2 linked regions of the Anolis sagrei genome follow. Each later gene encodes a partner of the first gene's protein in a complex. Links are inferred from orthologs where the notes say so. Each region holds a gene or a part of one and is shown in the gene's direction. Other genes may lie near its edges.

Evidence for each region.
Region 2: the proteins of PARP1 (region 1) and SMYD2 are in contact, whole or in part, in a crystal structure (PDB 9CKC), measured with the Homo sapiens proteins. The link is inferred for Anolis sagrei from reciprocal best matches to the Homo sapiens genes PARP1 and SMYD2. Residues at the interface, in NP_001609.2 of Homo sapiens: Thr526, Leu527, Lys528, Gly529, Gly530, Ala531; in NP_064582.2 of Homo sapiens: Thr105, Leu108, Val179, Asn180, Cys181, Asn182, Gly183, Phe184, Thr185, Glu187, Leu191, Ser196, Ala203, Met205, Tyr240, Ile241, Asp242, Ser257, Tyr258, Asn380.

What each region holds. Positions count from the first base shown.
Region 1 is NC_090021.1:39,857,608-39,865,659, reverse strand, and holds the start of PARP1 (poly [ADP-ribose] polymerase 1), read left to right. Parts: upstream 1-5,044; 5' UTR 5,045-5,132; coding exon 5,133-5,252; intron 5,253-8,052. UniProt on the Homo sapiens protein: Poly-ADP-ribosyltransferase that mediates poly-ADP-ribosylation of proteins and plays a key role in DNA repair.
Region 2 is NC_090021.1:33,551,174-33,558,865, forward strand, and holds the start of SMYD2 (N-lysine methyltransferase SMYD2), read left to right. Parts: upstream 1-4,664; 5' UTR 4,665-4,753; coding exon 4,754-4,938; intron 4,939-7,692. UniProt on the Homo sapiens protein: Protein-lysine N-methyltransferase that methylates both histones and non-histone proteins, including p53/TP53 and RB1. Specifically trimethylates histone H3 'Lys-4' (H3K4me3) in vivo. The activity requires interaction with HSP90alpha.

The sequences.
Region 1 (8,052 bases):
ATTTTCTAGGCATTGCTCATTAATTCAAATTTTATTCATAATAGAGTAGTATCCTTTGAAGTGTTTGATTCTTTCTGATCCTATTGTATATACTCAGAAATCTGCTTAACCATTTTAACGACTGAAGTTGGTCTCCATAATACCCATCCATCCTGCTCTCCTTCTAATAGGGAAAGTGTTTTGCTCCTTTTCCTACTCATAACTGAAGAACTATTTTTCATGAACTCCCTAAAATCCTCTTACAGAAAGTCAGGCTTTACCCAGAACACCGTGAGGGACACCACCCATTTGAAAAGGGGTACGAGTCTGGAAACCAGGGTTTGAATCCCACTGGGCCACACAAACCCATTGGGTGACTGTTCTGCCCTGGCACTAGCTATTTATTTGGAAGGTGTCTGTGGTGCAGGGATCAGAATGAATGCTACACATTTGAAGTGCACACAAGAATGTATTAAATAACAGATCTCAGATTTCCTCTCCTCTTGAATGTACTGTCAGTCTTTTTGAGGGGAGTTAAAATCCTTGAAGCATAACCACAGTTCTGACTGGATGTTACTTTAATATGACTTCAATTGGATTTCAGTCTGTTATATCTCTGACATGGCTTTACTTTGTGTCTTTACTTGCATAAAACTTTGGTGTAATGTATTTGGCTTTGATGTGACAATGTAAAGCTTTGATGTGATGGTGTATTGCTTCGACATCACATTCCATTTTTTGGATCTTTCCACTTTCCTTACTCTTTACTTTCCATCTACTACACTGGCTGACGGCTCAAGAAACCAGGAGGGTCTTGGCTGAGGCTCCGCCCCTGAGAAGAGTATTAAAAGGACAGGGTGAGGGAGGTTTCAAGTACAAGGAGGAAGAGGCTATCTAGACTAACCCCCCAAAATACAGTGTTCCCTCACTTATCACAGGGGTTCCGTTCCAGGACCACCCGCGATAAGGGATGCCATGTTAATTTTAATATTTATACATTATTTTATATATTTTATATATTATTTTCTTATCTGTGCTTCCTTACCTGCCTCCCGGCCCATCCCAAGAGCACCTGCCTGCCTCCCTGGCCTCCACAATGCCTCCGGAGCCATGCAGGCAGCACAGGCCAGGGAGGCAGACCTTCCCCGCCACACTTTCGGGGTCTGTGGAGGCCAGGGAGGCAGGCCTTCCCTGCCATGCCTCAAGCCGCTTTTGGGGTCCCTGGCGTCCACTGGATGTAAATATTTAATATTTAATATTTTTATTAATATTTTCAAAAACCTACGAAACAGCGGGTCTGCTAAAAGTGAACCGCAAAGTAGCGAGGGAACACTGTATACATAATAGGGGTTCAACAGGAACAAACAGTGGGAAATCTTGCGGAAGCACAACAGTGACCCTGGGCAAGTCACATTCTCTTGGCGCCAGAACAATTTGCAATAGGTTTGCCCTAAGAAGTTTGTAAATCAGAAATGACTTAAAGATACACAACAGATGCTGCAATACGGTATTTTATCTTGAGTCAGCCAGAAGGCCCTGAAAAAAAATCCTTAATAGCCTGACTCAGGGGTTTCACATATATTTGAGGGAGCTTTGTTCTGCAAAGCAGTGTACACCTAATGGTAATACTACAAGTAGTATAACCTTAGACATGTTGTCTCAGAAGTTAGTACCATTGTGGCTCCATCTACACTGCCATATAATGATTTATGTAATACAGGTCAGTACAGCGAAACTGCACTATGAGTTTACTGATTAAGGGTACATTTAACTCCAAAAGACACATTCATCAAAAAGGAATTTTCACTCTGCAGCCCTTGGATCCAGATCCTCAAAAGCAAATTCCTTGCATTTTGAAGTGCTTCGATATTTTTTTTAATCGAGATGGTATTCAAACTGATTTACAGACGATTTTCACATTCCATAGATTCTGAATTCATGGATTCAATTACTCACAGTTAATTACTCACAGTTAATTACAGTAATTTTTGTAAGATATAATTTTATTAGGTTTGCTGGGGTGCATTTCTACTGTACAATAACAACAACAACAACAACAACAATAATGGGTTGCTGTGAGTTTTCCAGGCTATATGGCCATGTTCCAGAAGCATTCTCTCCTGACATTTCGCCCACATCTGTGGCAGGTATCCTCAGAGGGTATAAGGTCTGTTTGAAGCTAGGCAAGTGAGGTTTATATATCTGTGGAATGTCTGTTTGAGGCAAATGTGAATGTTGCAATTGGCCAGCTTGATTAGCATTGAATAGTCTTGCAGCTTCAAAGTTCTTTCTCCCACTGGACATTCCTCCAAGGGGAACTGAACCACCTAAATTGAGCTCTACAGGCCAATGGATACTCCACCACAGACATCAGAAGAGCTGCAAAACCAAGAACAAGCCACAAGAGTAAAGACAAAGATCCACCCAGAGGAAAAGTGTTCTTGCTATACATCAAGGGAACCATCGACCGCATAGGGAAGCTGAGGAGGAAACACAACATACAAATAATCTACAGACCCACTAAGAAGATCTAACACATGCTGCGTTAAGCAAAGGACAAGAGGGATCCTCTCACTTATTTATTTATTTATTTGCTATACTTGTATTTGCTATACTTCTCAGCCTAGCCGGCGACTCAACGCGGTTTACAACTTATAACAAACAACAGTATACAGTTTAAAAGCATAAAAACACGATCCACAATACATATATCAATAAACAATCCAATTCATCTCTTGACTAAAATCGCGATCCAGTTTCGTAGTCCAAATTGCCAGTCCTTCAATCATTACACTTATTGCACTGAGTTAACCGAACGCCTGCTCGAACATCCAGGTTTTTAGTCTTTTCCGGAAAACCATCAATGAGGGGGCTGATCTTACCTCCATGGGGAGGGCGTTCCACTTCTGCAGGAGTCTACCGTATACCATGCAGCTGTGGACAAGTCTACATAGGGACCACCAAACGCAGCGCCCAAACACGAATCAAGGAACATGAAAGGCACTGCAGACTACTTCAACCAGAGAAGTCAGCCATAGCAGAGCACCTGATGAACCAACCTGGACACAGCATATTATTTGAGAACACAGAAATGCTGGACCACTCTCACAACTACCATATCAGACTGCACAGAGAAATAATTGAAATCCATGAGCATGTGGACAATTTCAACAGAAAGGGGGGGGAAAGAAAATGAACAAAATCCCACGCCAAAGTTCCCTGTTGGCCGTCACCACCCCCAGCTACTTCAGAGTCAAGCCAAGCACTTCAAGGATACCATCCATCCATTTTGCCCTTGGTCGGCCCTCTTCATTTTCCCCAGCATAATTGTCTTCTCTAAGCTTTCCTTTCTTCTCATGATGTGGCCAAAGTACTTCATCTTGGCCTCTAATATCCTTCCCTCCAATGAGCAGTTGGACTTTGTTTCCTGAAGTATGGACTGACTGGATCTTCTGGCAGTCCAAGGCACTCTCAGAACTTTCCTCCAGCACCACAGTTCAAAAGCATCTATCTTCCTTCGCTCAGCCTTCCCTATGGTCCACATCCATAGGTGACTATGGGGAATACCATTGCTTTAACTATGCAGATCTTCGTTGCCAGTGTGAAGTCTCTACACTATTTTATCAAGATTGGTCCCAAGAAGTAAGCGTCTCCTGATTTCCTGACTGCAGTCTGCGTCTGCAGTAATCTTTGCACCTAGAAATACAAAGTCTGTCACTGCCTCCATGTTTTTTCCCTCTATTTCCCAGTTGTCAATCAGTTCAGTTGCCATAATCTTGTTTTATATATATATATATATATATATATATATATATATATATATATATATAACTGCAACCCAACGTGAAGGCAGTGACAGACGTTGTATTTCTACGTGCAATCAGGAGATGCTTATTTCTTGGGAGGAGAGCAATGTCCAATCTTGATAAAATAGTGAAGAGTAGAGACATCACACTGGCAAAGAAGATTCACACAGTCAAAGCAATGGTATTCCCCATAGTCACCTACGGATGTGAGAGCTGGACCATAGGGAAGACTGAGTGAAGGAAGATTGATGCTTTTGAGCTGTGGTGCCGGATGAAAGTTCTGAGAGTGCCTTGGACTGAGAGAAGATCCAACCAGTCCATACTTCGGGAAATAAAGCCTGACTGCTCATTGGAGGGAAGAATAGTAGAGGCCAAGATGAAGTACTTTGGCCACATCATGAGAAGACAGAAAAGCTTAGAGAAGACAATGACGCTGGGGAAAATGGAAGGAAAAAGGAAGAGGGGCCAACCAAGGGCAAGGTGGATGGATAGTATCCTTGAAGTGACTGGATTGACCTTGAAGGAGCTGGGGGTGGTGACGGCCGACAGGGAGCTCTGGTGTGGACTGGACCATGAGATCACGAAGAGTCGGAAACAACTGAACGAATGAACAACAACATAAGGCTCCTTAGCTCCTCCTCGCTTTTGGCCATCACAGCGGTATCATCTGCATACCTAATGTTAATGTTTCTTCCATCAATTTTCACCCCAGCCTTGCATTCGTCAAGCCCCGCACATCGCATGCAAGTTGAATAGGTTGGGTGAAAGTATACAACCCTGCCGCACGCCTTTCCCAATCTTGAACCAGTCTGTTGTTCCATGGTCTATTCTGACTGTTGCTACTTGTTCCTTATACAGATTCCTCAGGAGAGAGACAAGGTGGCTTGTAATGCCCATCCCACCAAGAACTTGCCACAATTTATTATGATGTATGAGTTGCAAATCTACAACTCCCAAAATCGGATGACATTGAGCCAGTGGAGATGGAATGAAATCCTAGTCATTGTACTGGACGATCCTTTGAGCAGGACATGGGAAACTACAACTCCCAGAACGTGCTTCCTTGCAGGACCCTTTCGGCGATCGATTAGGCATGCCGCGTAGGAGGGAGGCTTTTAGAACGTTGCCCGGGAATCAGCTCTGCTGATTCCCGGGCAACGTTCTAAAAGCCTCCCTCCTACGCGGCATGCCTAATCGATCGCCGAAACGGATTGAGAGCAGAGCCAAGCAGGGTTCGATCTCTCTGCGCTCGGCATTGAACTGCGAGAGCCTGGCAAGAGCCTCCAATGCGCCGCGTGCTGCCCCCATTGCTTTTGCTGCTCGCATCCTTCCCTTCCTAGCACAGCCATGGCGGAGCCTGCAGAGAAGCAGTACCGCGTCGAGTACGCCAAGAGCGGCCGGGCTTCGTGCAAGAAATGCGGCGACAACATCGCCAAGGACTCGCTCCGCCTGGCCATCATGGTGCAGGTCAGCCTTTCTTGTTCCTTCTCGCAGCCGGGAGCAGCGCCACGTTGCCTCGCAGCCTCAGGCCCCATTCGCAGGGCAGCCTGGGGTCAGTGCAGACTCCTATGTATCATGCAGCTCTTGCACATGAGCCTAAATTGGGGCATCACTCATGCACGGAACACGCCCCCTCTTTCTATTTATTATGTCGCCTCTGGGAAGGTTTTGCTGCTCTTCACTGCAGGGAGGGAGTGGGTAGATAAGATATCCATCTGGGAGTCATGATTATCATTGCATTTATCTATGTTTCACTTATCTATCTCTCTGGAAAAAAGAGACTCAAAAGATTCTCACAACACGAAAAAACAATGCAAAATTGGAGCTTGTTTCTGAAGCGTTTTTAAAGAAATAATTATAATACTAGCCGTCCCCTGCTATGCGTTGCTGTGGCCCAGTCTGGTGATCTGGAAAATGAAGTAATGAGAAAGTGTTTGTTTCTAAAATATGTAATTTCTTTATGCTTGTGTGTAAACAGTATTTCTTATTGGGTTTTTTTTTTTGTCAGTGTTGATGTGGAGAGTGTCTGGAACATAAAACCTACTCTGGAACATAAAACATATCATTGTCCTTCTTTAGGGGTCCCTTTCAAATCTATGATACTATATCTCTGTGTGTGTGTGTGTGTGAATCTGTATAAATAAAAATGTAATGTTGGTTTGTGGGCTTAACATAACTCGTAAAACACTGGACAAATTGACACAAAATTTGGACACAAGACACCTATCAGGCCAACGAGTGGCCATCACTCATAAAAACACTGAAAAACACAGCAAAAGAAACTTAAAAAGCAAAAAAAAAAAAAAAAACAACCCCACATTACAATGCATGCACAAAACCACACGTGTGCACACACACACACATACATAAACACACATATATATGCACACAAAACACAGATACACTAGGCCACAGCAAAGCATGGCGGGGGGGGGGGCTAGTCATATATATCTATATCTATGACTAGATGGCTCTTTGTCAGGAGGGCTTTGATTATGTTTTCTTGCCCTGATGAAGAGAGTTGGACTGGATAGCCTTAAGTATTTTCTGTTGGTCATGGGGGTTCTGTGTGGGAAGTTTGGCCCAATTCTGTCGTTCGTAGGGTTCAGAATGCTCTTTGATTGTAGGTGGACTATAAATCCCAGTAACTACACCTCCCAAATGTCAAGATCTATTTCCCCAAACTCCATCTGTGTTCATATTTGGGCATATGGAATATTTGTGCCAAGTTTGGTCCAGATCCATCATTGTTTGAGTCCACAGTGCTCTCTGGATGTAGGTGAACTACAACTCCCAAACTCAAGGTCAATGCCCACCAAACGCTGCTAGTATTCTCTGTTGGTCATGAGAGGCCTGTGTGCCAAGTTTGGCTCAATTCCATCGTTCAGAATGCTCTTTGATTGTAGGTGAACTATAAATCCCAGCAACTACAACTCCCAAATGACAAAATTCAATTTTTTAAAATGATGGTCACTCATTGGGTTAGTAGGTGTTATGTGGCCAAATTTGACGGCAATTCGTCCAGTGGTTTTTGAGTTATGTTAATCCACAAACGAACATTACATTTTTATTTATATAGATAAAAGCCCTGCTGAAAAGATGCATTCTTTGGCTATAGAATGCCATGTTCCAAGCACTGTATAAGTGGTTTGATACATTTTGATAGTTTGGATCAGTACAGAGAATAATATTGTAATATAGTAACACTAATATATTGGCATTGTACATGTTTATGTATCCATACTGTACACTGCTCTGAGTCCCCCCTCAGGGTGAGAAGAGTGGTATACAACTGCAGTAAATCAATAAATAAACAATAACTCCCAGGATTCCATAGCATTGAGCCAGACCAGTTAAAGTGGTATTAAACTGCATTAATTCAATGATGTAGATACAACCATAGTCCTGCTTTGCCATATGGTGTGCGCTCGCCTACCTTTTAAAGAAAATGTTTAAGGCTGAACTATATAGTGTTTTTAGGCATGTTCATAGAATCATAGAGTTGGAAGAGACCTCATGGGCCATCCAGTCCAACTCCCTGCCAAGAAGCAGGAAAATCACATTCAAAACACCCCCGACAGATGGACATTCAGTCTTTGTTTAGAAACCTCCAAAGAAGGAGCCTCCACCACACTCTGGAGCAGAGAGTTCAGAAAGCAAATGTTTCATGATCTCAAACACACATGTGGATAATTTTGGGTCATTTTGGAATTCTTGGTAAAGAATGCTCAAGCTATACTTAAATTATTTGCAGAGTCCGTCTGTAGTAGATTTAAAGAGGAGCATATTGTTTTGAATTCTGTAGGAGATACTTGTTTGAACAGGATTGTCTATAGATCCCTCCAGAATTATGCTGTTTTTCTTTCTCTTGGATGTAGCAGTTATAATGGATTCAAAGCACTTAGCAAATACAAGGACTTGCATTGTCCTTACTTTTTCTGGGCAAGACTTCTTGCTATACTTTTGCATGAAAGTTCTTGCAATCTTGATGCCCAGGGAGCCAGGAGTGCTAAACATTTTCATTGTATTTTGTTATTGGGAGAAAGGTCTCCTTGTAATCTAGTCTTCAGAAACATCAAGACAGTAGTCCATTAAAAAAAACCACACACACAGTCAATGCTCCACATTCACTGAAAATGAAGGAAGGGAGCAATTTTTTAAAAATTACCTAAGGGATTACCTCTCTAGAAATCTCTAGGTCTTCTATCCTGACTCCTTTGGAAGCACTGGGAGACTTACAGGTGCCTTGAGAAGTAGTTTCTCTAGA
Region 2 (7,692 bases), about 6.3 Mb from region 1:
TACAATCCACCCTTCACATTCGCTGGGGTTAGGGGATTCCTGTGAAAATCAAAAACATTAGCTAGAAGTGGACTTGTAATAGCATTGGAAGACCTGGAAATTCCTACAGAGGACACCTCTCTTATGTTTCCCCTCATGACTAGAGTAACTTAATCATATAATTGAACTAAAGGACCTAGATTTTCTTAAAGAACATTTTAATGAAATCCATGACCAATCAAATATGCAAAAGTCAAAACCCTAAATGTACACACAGACAAACCCATACATATATACAGGGCAAACTGCTTTCATGCTTTACATTGTTTTTATTATAATATGTATATTTATGCTTGTTTTTCTCTGTTGTTGGCACTGTGCTGTGCTGGTTGTTAGCTGCCCTAAGTCCCCCTGCGGTGGTTGAGATAGGACAGGATATAAATGCCTTAAATAAAATAAATAAATAAATAAAATGTGCCCTAAAATGTATGCAACCTTGTTATTGAATATATTTCTGTGTGTATGTGTGTATATGTGTGTGTATGTATGCGTATGTGTGTGTGTAGATGTGTGTGTGTGCACAGACACATACCTATATACAGATTTATACACTTTGTTATTGTATAACTCCTATGTGTATATGTGAATGTATGTATATATATATATCTATGTATATATAGGATTGTGTACACTGGAATGTATACAACAAGGATGCATACCTTTTAGTGAACACCTTGTATTATGACAAGAGTCCAAAAATGTTGGCAGCTAGGATGACACACACATATACATACATATATACTTATACCTACATACCCACACAGGGCTAGCTGCCCATATTTCTGCACTTTTTGTCCTGTCCCTTTAATTTTTTCCCCCTTATACCACTTGCTTAATGTCAATCTGGTCTCCTTTCTGAGCGAGGAGCTGGACCCCATCTACACAGACCATTTAATTTAGTTTCAAACCAGTATTGAAGAAAGTGGTTTCGCTGTGCAAATGATTACACCAGAAATCCTGGAATCAGTTTGGGGCCCCAGATGGTGATGACATGAGCACCACCTATGCTGCCATATAATGCAGTTTGAAACTACCTTATATGGCCAGTGTAGACTCATAATACTGTTTAAATGGATTGAACCACACTGTGAGCCTACACTGACTACATAATGCAGTTTCAGGTTGGTGTAGATTCATATAATGCCATTTAAATGCACTGAACCACACTTTGAGCATACACTGACTACATAATACAGTTTCAGGTCAGTGTAGACTCATATAATAACATTTCACTGCATTGAATAGCACTGCGCGCCTACACCGACTTCATAAAGTAATTTCAGGTGAGTGTAGACTCATATAATGCAGTTGAACAGCATTATGAGCCAACACTGACTACATAATGCAGTTTCAGGTCGATATAGACTCATATAATGCCGTTTAACTGCATAGAACCGCACTGTGAGCCTGCACTGACCACATAATGCAGTTTCTGGTCAGTATAGACTCATGTAATGCCGTTTAACTGCATTGAACAGCACTGTGAGTCTACACCGATGACATAAAGTAGATTCAGATCAGTTTAGACTCATATAATGAAGTTGAACAGAGTTATGCGCCAATACTGACTACATAATTCAGTTTCAGGTTGGTGTAGACTCATATAATGCCATTCAACTGCATTGAACCACACTGTGAGCCTACGCTGACTAAATAATGGAGTTTCAGGTCAGTGTAGACTCATAAAATGCCGTTTATCTGCACTGAACCGCACTGTGCGCCTATGCTGACTAGACTACATAATACAATTTCAGGTTGGTGTAGACTTATAGAATGCCATTTAACTGCATTGAACGACACTGTGAACCTACGCTGACTACATAATACAATTTCAGGTTTGTGTGGACTCATATAATGCAGTTGAATAGCATTATGAGCCAACACTGACTACATAGCACAATTCCAGGTTGGTGTTGACTCATATAATGCCATTCAACTGCATTGTGAGCCTACACTAACTACATAATGCAGTTTCAAAACTCCATTACATGGCAGAGGAGATGGAACCGCAAACCATGAAGCACTGAAGCGTTTCATTTTGCACTCTTTTGTGGGTGTTTCTTGCTCTGTGGCCCCATCTACAATGGCATATAATGCAGTTGAACAGGACTGCATGAATCTAGGCTGCTATATCGTTCACCCAGACTCAGGGCCCTTCCACACAGCCCTATATCCCAGAATATCAAGGCAAGAAATCCCATATTATCTCAGTGTGGACTCAGGTAACCCAGTTCAAAGCAGATATTGTGGGACTTTCTGCCTTGATATTCTGGGTTATAGGCCTGTGTGGAAATCCCCTCAGGCACCATAGGAAGCAGCTTTGCACAGGAGTTCAGACAATGCGGTTTGCAGCTAGCTTCAAACTGCATTGAATGCATGGTCAGCACAGACGAGGTGGTGATAGTACAATAGCTGGGTCCGAAAGCGCCAAGTGTTATGGAGATGCCCCAATGGCGACTCTGAATAAGGGAAGAGAAGAGGCGGAGTGAGAGTAGGGAGAGCAAAGGATAAAAAGCGGGGGGTGCTTAGGGTAAGGGTTGGGGTAAGGTTTAGGGTTTGGGTTATGGTTAGGGTAAGGGGTTATGGTTTAGGGTAAGGTTTAGGGTTTGGGTTAGCATTCAGAGTAAGGATTTGGGTAAAGTTTAGGGTTTGGGTAAGAGTTTGGGTAAAGAGTTAGGCTTAGGTTTACAGTATGGTCCAGGGTGATAGTAAGATAGCTGGGTCTGGAAGCTCCGAGCATTACGGAGATGCCGCAAAGGCGGCTGTGAATAAGGGAAGAGAGGGGGCGGAGTGAGCATGGGGAGAGCGAAGGAAGGATAAAAAGGAGGGGGTGCTTAGGGTAAGGGTTAGGGCAAGGTTTAGGGTTTGGGTTACGGTACAGTTTAGGGTTTGGGTTAGGGTATGGTTTAGGGCAGGGGTCCTCAAACTAAGGCCCGGGGCCCCTCCAAGGTCATTTACCCGGCCCTCGCTCAGGGTCATCCTAAATTTGAAATGACTTGAAAGCACACAACAACAATCCAATCTAATCAGCCAAAAGCAGACCCACACTTCCCATTGAAATACTAATAAGTTTATATATGTTAAAATTGTTCCTCATTTTACTTTTTGTATTGTTTTTAAGTGGTTTTTGCACTACAAATAAGATAGGTGCAGTGTGCATGCGAATCCTTTTTTTTACTTCAAATTATAATCCGGCCCTCCAACAGTTTGAGGGACTGTGACCTGGCCTTCTGTTTACAAAGTTTGAAGACCCCTGGTTTAGGGTTTGGGTAAAGGGTTAGGCTTATGGTACAGTTCAGGGTTAGGATTAGTGTTATGGTAAGGGTTAGGGCAGGCCCGTAACCAGGATTTTGTTTCGGGGGGGCGGGGGGGGGGGGCTGAGTCTGAGTGAAAGAGGGTCTAGCCTAGCAAACCTTTTGTATCATTACCCCAATACCCCCATGCAAATGGGATATATTGAGTATGGTGGTCAGATCATGATATGAATAAACATAACAGTTTAAATAATGTACCAGTAAGAACGTTTCGCGAACCACCATGAGAATTTGGGGGGGGGGGGGGGGCTGAAGCCGGCTACCCTCAGGGGTCCCGACCACCAGGTTGAGAAACACTGGGTTAGGGCAAGATTTAGGGTTTGAGTTAGGGTTTTGGTTAGGGTAAGGTTTAGGGTTTGTGTAAGGGTTTGGGTAAAGGTTAGGGTATGGTTTTGGGTAAAGGCTTAGGCTTACGGTACGGTTCAGGGTTAGAGTAAGGGTTATGGTAAGGGTTAGGGTAAGGGCTTCACCGGGATTGTGGTGCAGCTGGCTGAGTGTCAGCTGCATTAAGATCACTCTGACCAAAAAAAGGTCATGAGTTCGAAGCCAGCCCGGGCTGGAGTGGGTGTCCAGCCATTGTGTAGCCCGTTGTCGACCTTTGCAACCCGGAAGACAGTTGCATCTGTCAAGTAGGAAAATAAGGTACCACCTTGTGTGGGAGGCTAAATTTAACTAATTTATGAGGCCATAAAGAAAAAAGACTCCGGGGAATGTGGAATGCGGAAGAACTTCATCGGTGTCGTTGATGGATGATGAAAAGCAGCAGCTCCCCTGGCGGCCAGAAAAAAGTTAAATAGCCTCAGTGTATTTGTGTGTTAAATGTTGTTTGTCAAACTGGCATTGAATGTTTGCCATATATGTGTTTACTGTAATCCGCCCTGAGTCCCCTGCGGGGTGAGAAGGGTGGAATATAAGAACTGTAAATAAACAAATAAATAAATAAATTAAAGAACTCCTTCATTCCTTCTATAGTATCTGTCTCCGGCCTGGCTTACATTAGCTAAGGCTCTCTTCCACAAACTGCGCTCCCGAAGGAGCGATGCGGCCTCTCCGTAACGCTCTGCACTTCCAGACCCAGCTATCATACTATTACCGACGAGGCCTACGCTTGACCTAGGCGGGGATGGAAACGCTGGGTCCTAGAGCGCGCATGTCTGCGGACGGGCTCTAGGACCCAGCGGGCTGGCGCGGCCCTCCTTCCCGTGGACGGCTGGCTGTGGTGCTGCTGCTGCTCCGCCTGCCCCTCTCGCTCTCTCTGCCCATGTATGTGCCTTGGGCTCTGGGGCCAGGCGCCGCTGCGGGTGACGGCGCGCCATTAATAGCAACGGGCCAGCCTCCTCCTCCTCCTCCTCTTTCTCTTCCTCGATCTCCTCCTCCTCCTCCTCGGCGGCACCGGCGCCATGCGCTCCTCCGAAAAGGAAGGCGAGGAGCTGGGTCTGGCGCGCTTCCAGAGCCCCGGCCGAGGCAGGGGTCTCCGAGCCCGGCGCCGCTTCGTCCCCGGGGAGCTGCTCTTCGCCTGCCCGGCCTTCACCTGCGTCCTCACCGTCAACGAGAGGGGCAACCACTGCGAGGGCTGCTTCGCCAGGTAAAGGCAAGGAAGGCGAGGAGAGGGAAGGAGCAGAGGCCGGCAGGAAGCCTCGGCCTGGGCGGCGTCAGCGCCCCAGGATTTCCCCCCGGGTCCTAGCGCCGGCATCCTCCATCTCAAGTGAAGGGCTGCTGCGGGATGAATGCGTCCTGGCTGACACTCTTCTTCCCTGCTCAATGCTCTTGGCACCCTGGCCAGTTATAGTTTGGCCTGGTAAAACTGCAACCCCCATAGCATTGAGCCCCATTGGTGTCAAGCTGCATTAACTCCCCAGCAGGCCTGCATAAACTGAAGCCCTTCCAGGTGTTTGGGGCGCCAATTCCCAAACACCCTTGTCCAATAGTGAGGAATTCTGGGAGCGGAAGTCCAGCAAAACACATGGAGGGCTACAAGTTGGGCAGGCCTGCTCTACAGTGTAGATCAGGCATGGGCAATATTCAGCTCTCCAGGTGTTTTTGGACTGCAACTCCCACAATTCCTAACAGCATAGGACAGTGGTTCTCAGGAGCCCCCAGTGGTGCAGTGGGTTAAACCCCTGTGCTGGCAGGACTGAAGGCCGACAGGTCGCAGGTTCGAATCCAGGGAGAGGCAGATGAGCTCCCTCTAACAGCTCCAGCTCTTCATGCAGGGACATGAGAGAAGCCTCCCACAAGGATGATAAAAACATCAAATCATCCAGGCGTCCCCTGGGCAATGTCCTTGCAGACGGCCAATTCTCTCACACCAGGAGTCACTCCTGACATGACCAAAAGTGGTTCTCAACCTGTGGGTGCCCAGGTGGTTTGGCCTACATCTCCCAGAAACCTCAACCAGTTCACAAGCTGTTAGGATTTCTGGGCGTTGAAGGCCAAAACATCTGGCAACCCACAGGTTGAAAACCATTGACCTACACTGTTAGGAATTGTGGGAGTTGAAGTGCAAAACACCTAGAGGACTGAAGTTTGCCCATGCCTGATGTGGAAGATGAATTCACCCTCTCAGCCACAGAAAACTCCATCATAGGGTTGTTCTGAGAGGAGGCACACAATAATATGAAGAACAACACACCCTATGCGGGGTTTGTAAGTGATTGTGTGAGTTCTGCTTCCATCCATTTCCTTTCTCCAACTTCTTTGCCATGTTTTGCATGCAGTTTCTTTGTGTTTTGAATCATCCAATGCGGAATTAAAACCCATCATAATCTTATCATTGATTATTTTCATCTATACACACAGAAACATGGATGAAGCAGGACATGGGTGCATCTACGCTGTAGAAATAATGCATTTTGACACCACTTTAAGTGCCATGGCATCATGCGACGGAATCCTGGGAGTTATAGTTTGGTGAGGCACCAGCAGACTTTGGCAGAGAAGAGTCAAGTCCTTGTAGAACTGTAACTCCATTGATTTCATAACATTGAGCCATAGCAGTTAAAGTGGTGTCAAACTGTGTTAATTCTACAGCGTAGATGCACCCATGTCCTGCTTCATCCATGTTTCTGTGTTGTTGGTTTTTTTTTCATGTCAGGAGCAACTTGAGAAACTGCAAGTTGCTTCTGGTGTGAGAGAACTGGAGACTGCAAGGACATTGCCCAGGGGACACCTGGATGTTTTGATGTTTTACCATCCTTGTGGGAGTTTCCCTCATGGGGAGCTGGAACTGACAGAGGGAGCTCATCTGCACCCTCCTGAATTCGAACCTCCAACCAGTCAGTCTTCAGTCCTGCCGGCACAAGGGTTTAACCCATGGCGCCACCAAGGGCTCCTTACAGTGCAGATGCACTCATGGTTGTTCGAGCTGGTTGTGTCTATTATTTGGGAATGTAGGAGAAAATGTGCACGGAAAACTGCAATTGAGTACTAAAGGCCTTAATATCTCAATAAGATTGTCCTTTCTTCCAGGTGTATATGTATGTGGCAGTGCAGGAGATAGTTTCAGCAACAAGATATTGCCATATTGTGAACTGTAAATACACTAAAAGCAACAAATTCTGTCTGATCTTGGTTCCTAAGCAGGATCAGCTCTGGTCACATCTTGAATGAGAAACTGATAATGAATATCAATGACTGCAATATCTCAGAAAAATAATACACAATCAGCCTGCTGTATCCATGGATTCGACCATCCATAGCTTTAAAATGGAAGCACCCCGTGGCGCAGTGGGTTAAACCGCTGAGCTGCTGAACTTGCTAACTGAAAGGTTGCAGGTTCAAATCCAGGGAGCAGCATGAGCCCCCGCTATTAGCCCCAGCTTCTGCCAAACTAGCAGTTCAAAAACATGCAAATGTGAGTAGATCAACAGGTACTGTTCTGACAGGAAGGTAACAGTGCTCCATGCAGTCCTGCCAACCACATGACTTTGAGCCAGTGTTGTCTACGGAAAACACTGGCTCGGAAACAGCTGGACTTAATGTCAGTGGAAAATCTTTATCTAGCTTGAAAAATATCTTCCCCCCCCCCCCCCCCCCCGGCAAATCCCAAAAGCAAATCTTGATTTTGTCTTTTTATATAAGGGACACTATTTTACTATGTCACTGTATAGTATGGGACTTGAGCATCCACAGATTTTGGTATCAACAGCAGGCCTGGAACCAAACCCTAATGACTCACAGTATTGTGAGTTGTGCATACTGCAAAGGCCCCAGATCCAGTCTCATCTAGGATGCTGAACAGGATCAGCACTGATTATCACTTGGATGGGAAACTACCAATGAATACCAGCTCAAAAAAGCATCTGTCTTCTTGTTTTCACCTTGTAGGTGGTTGTTGAAT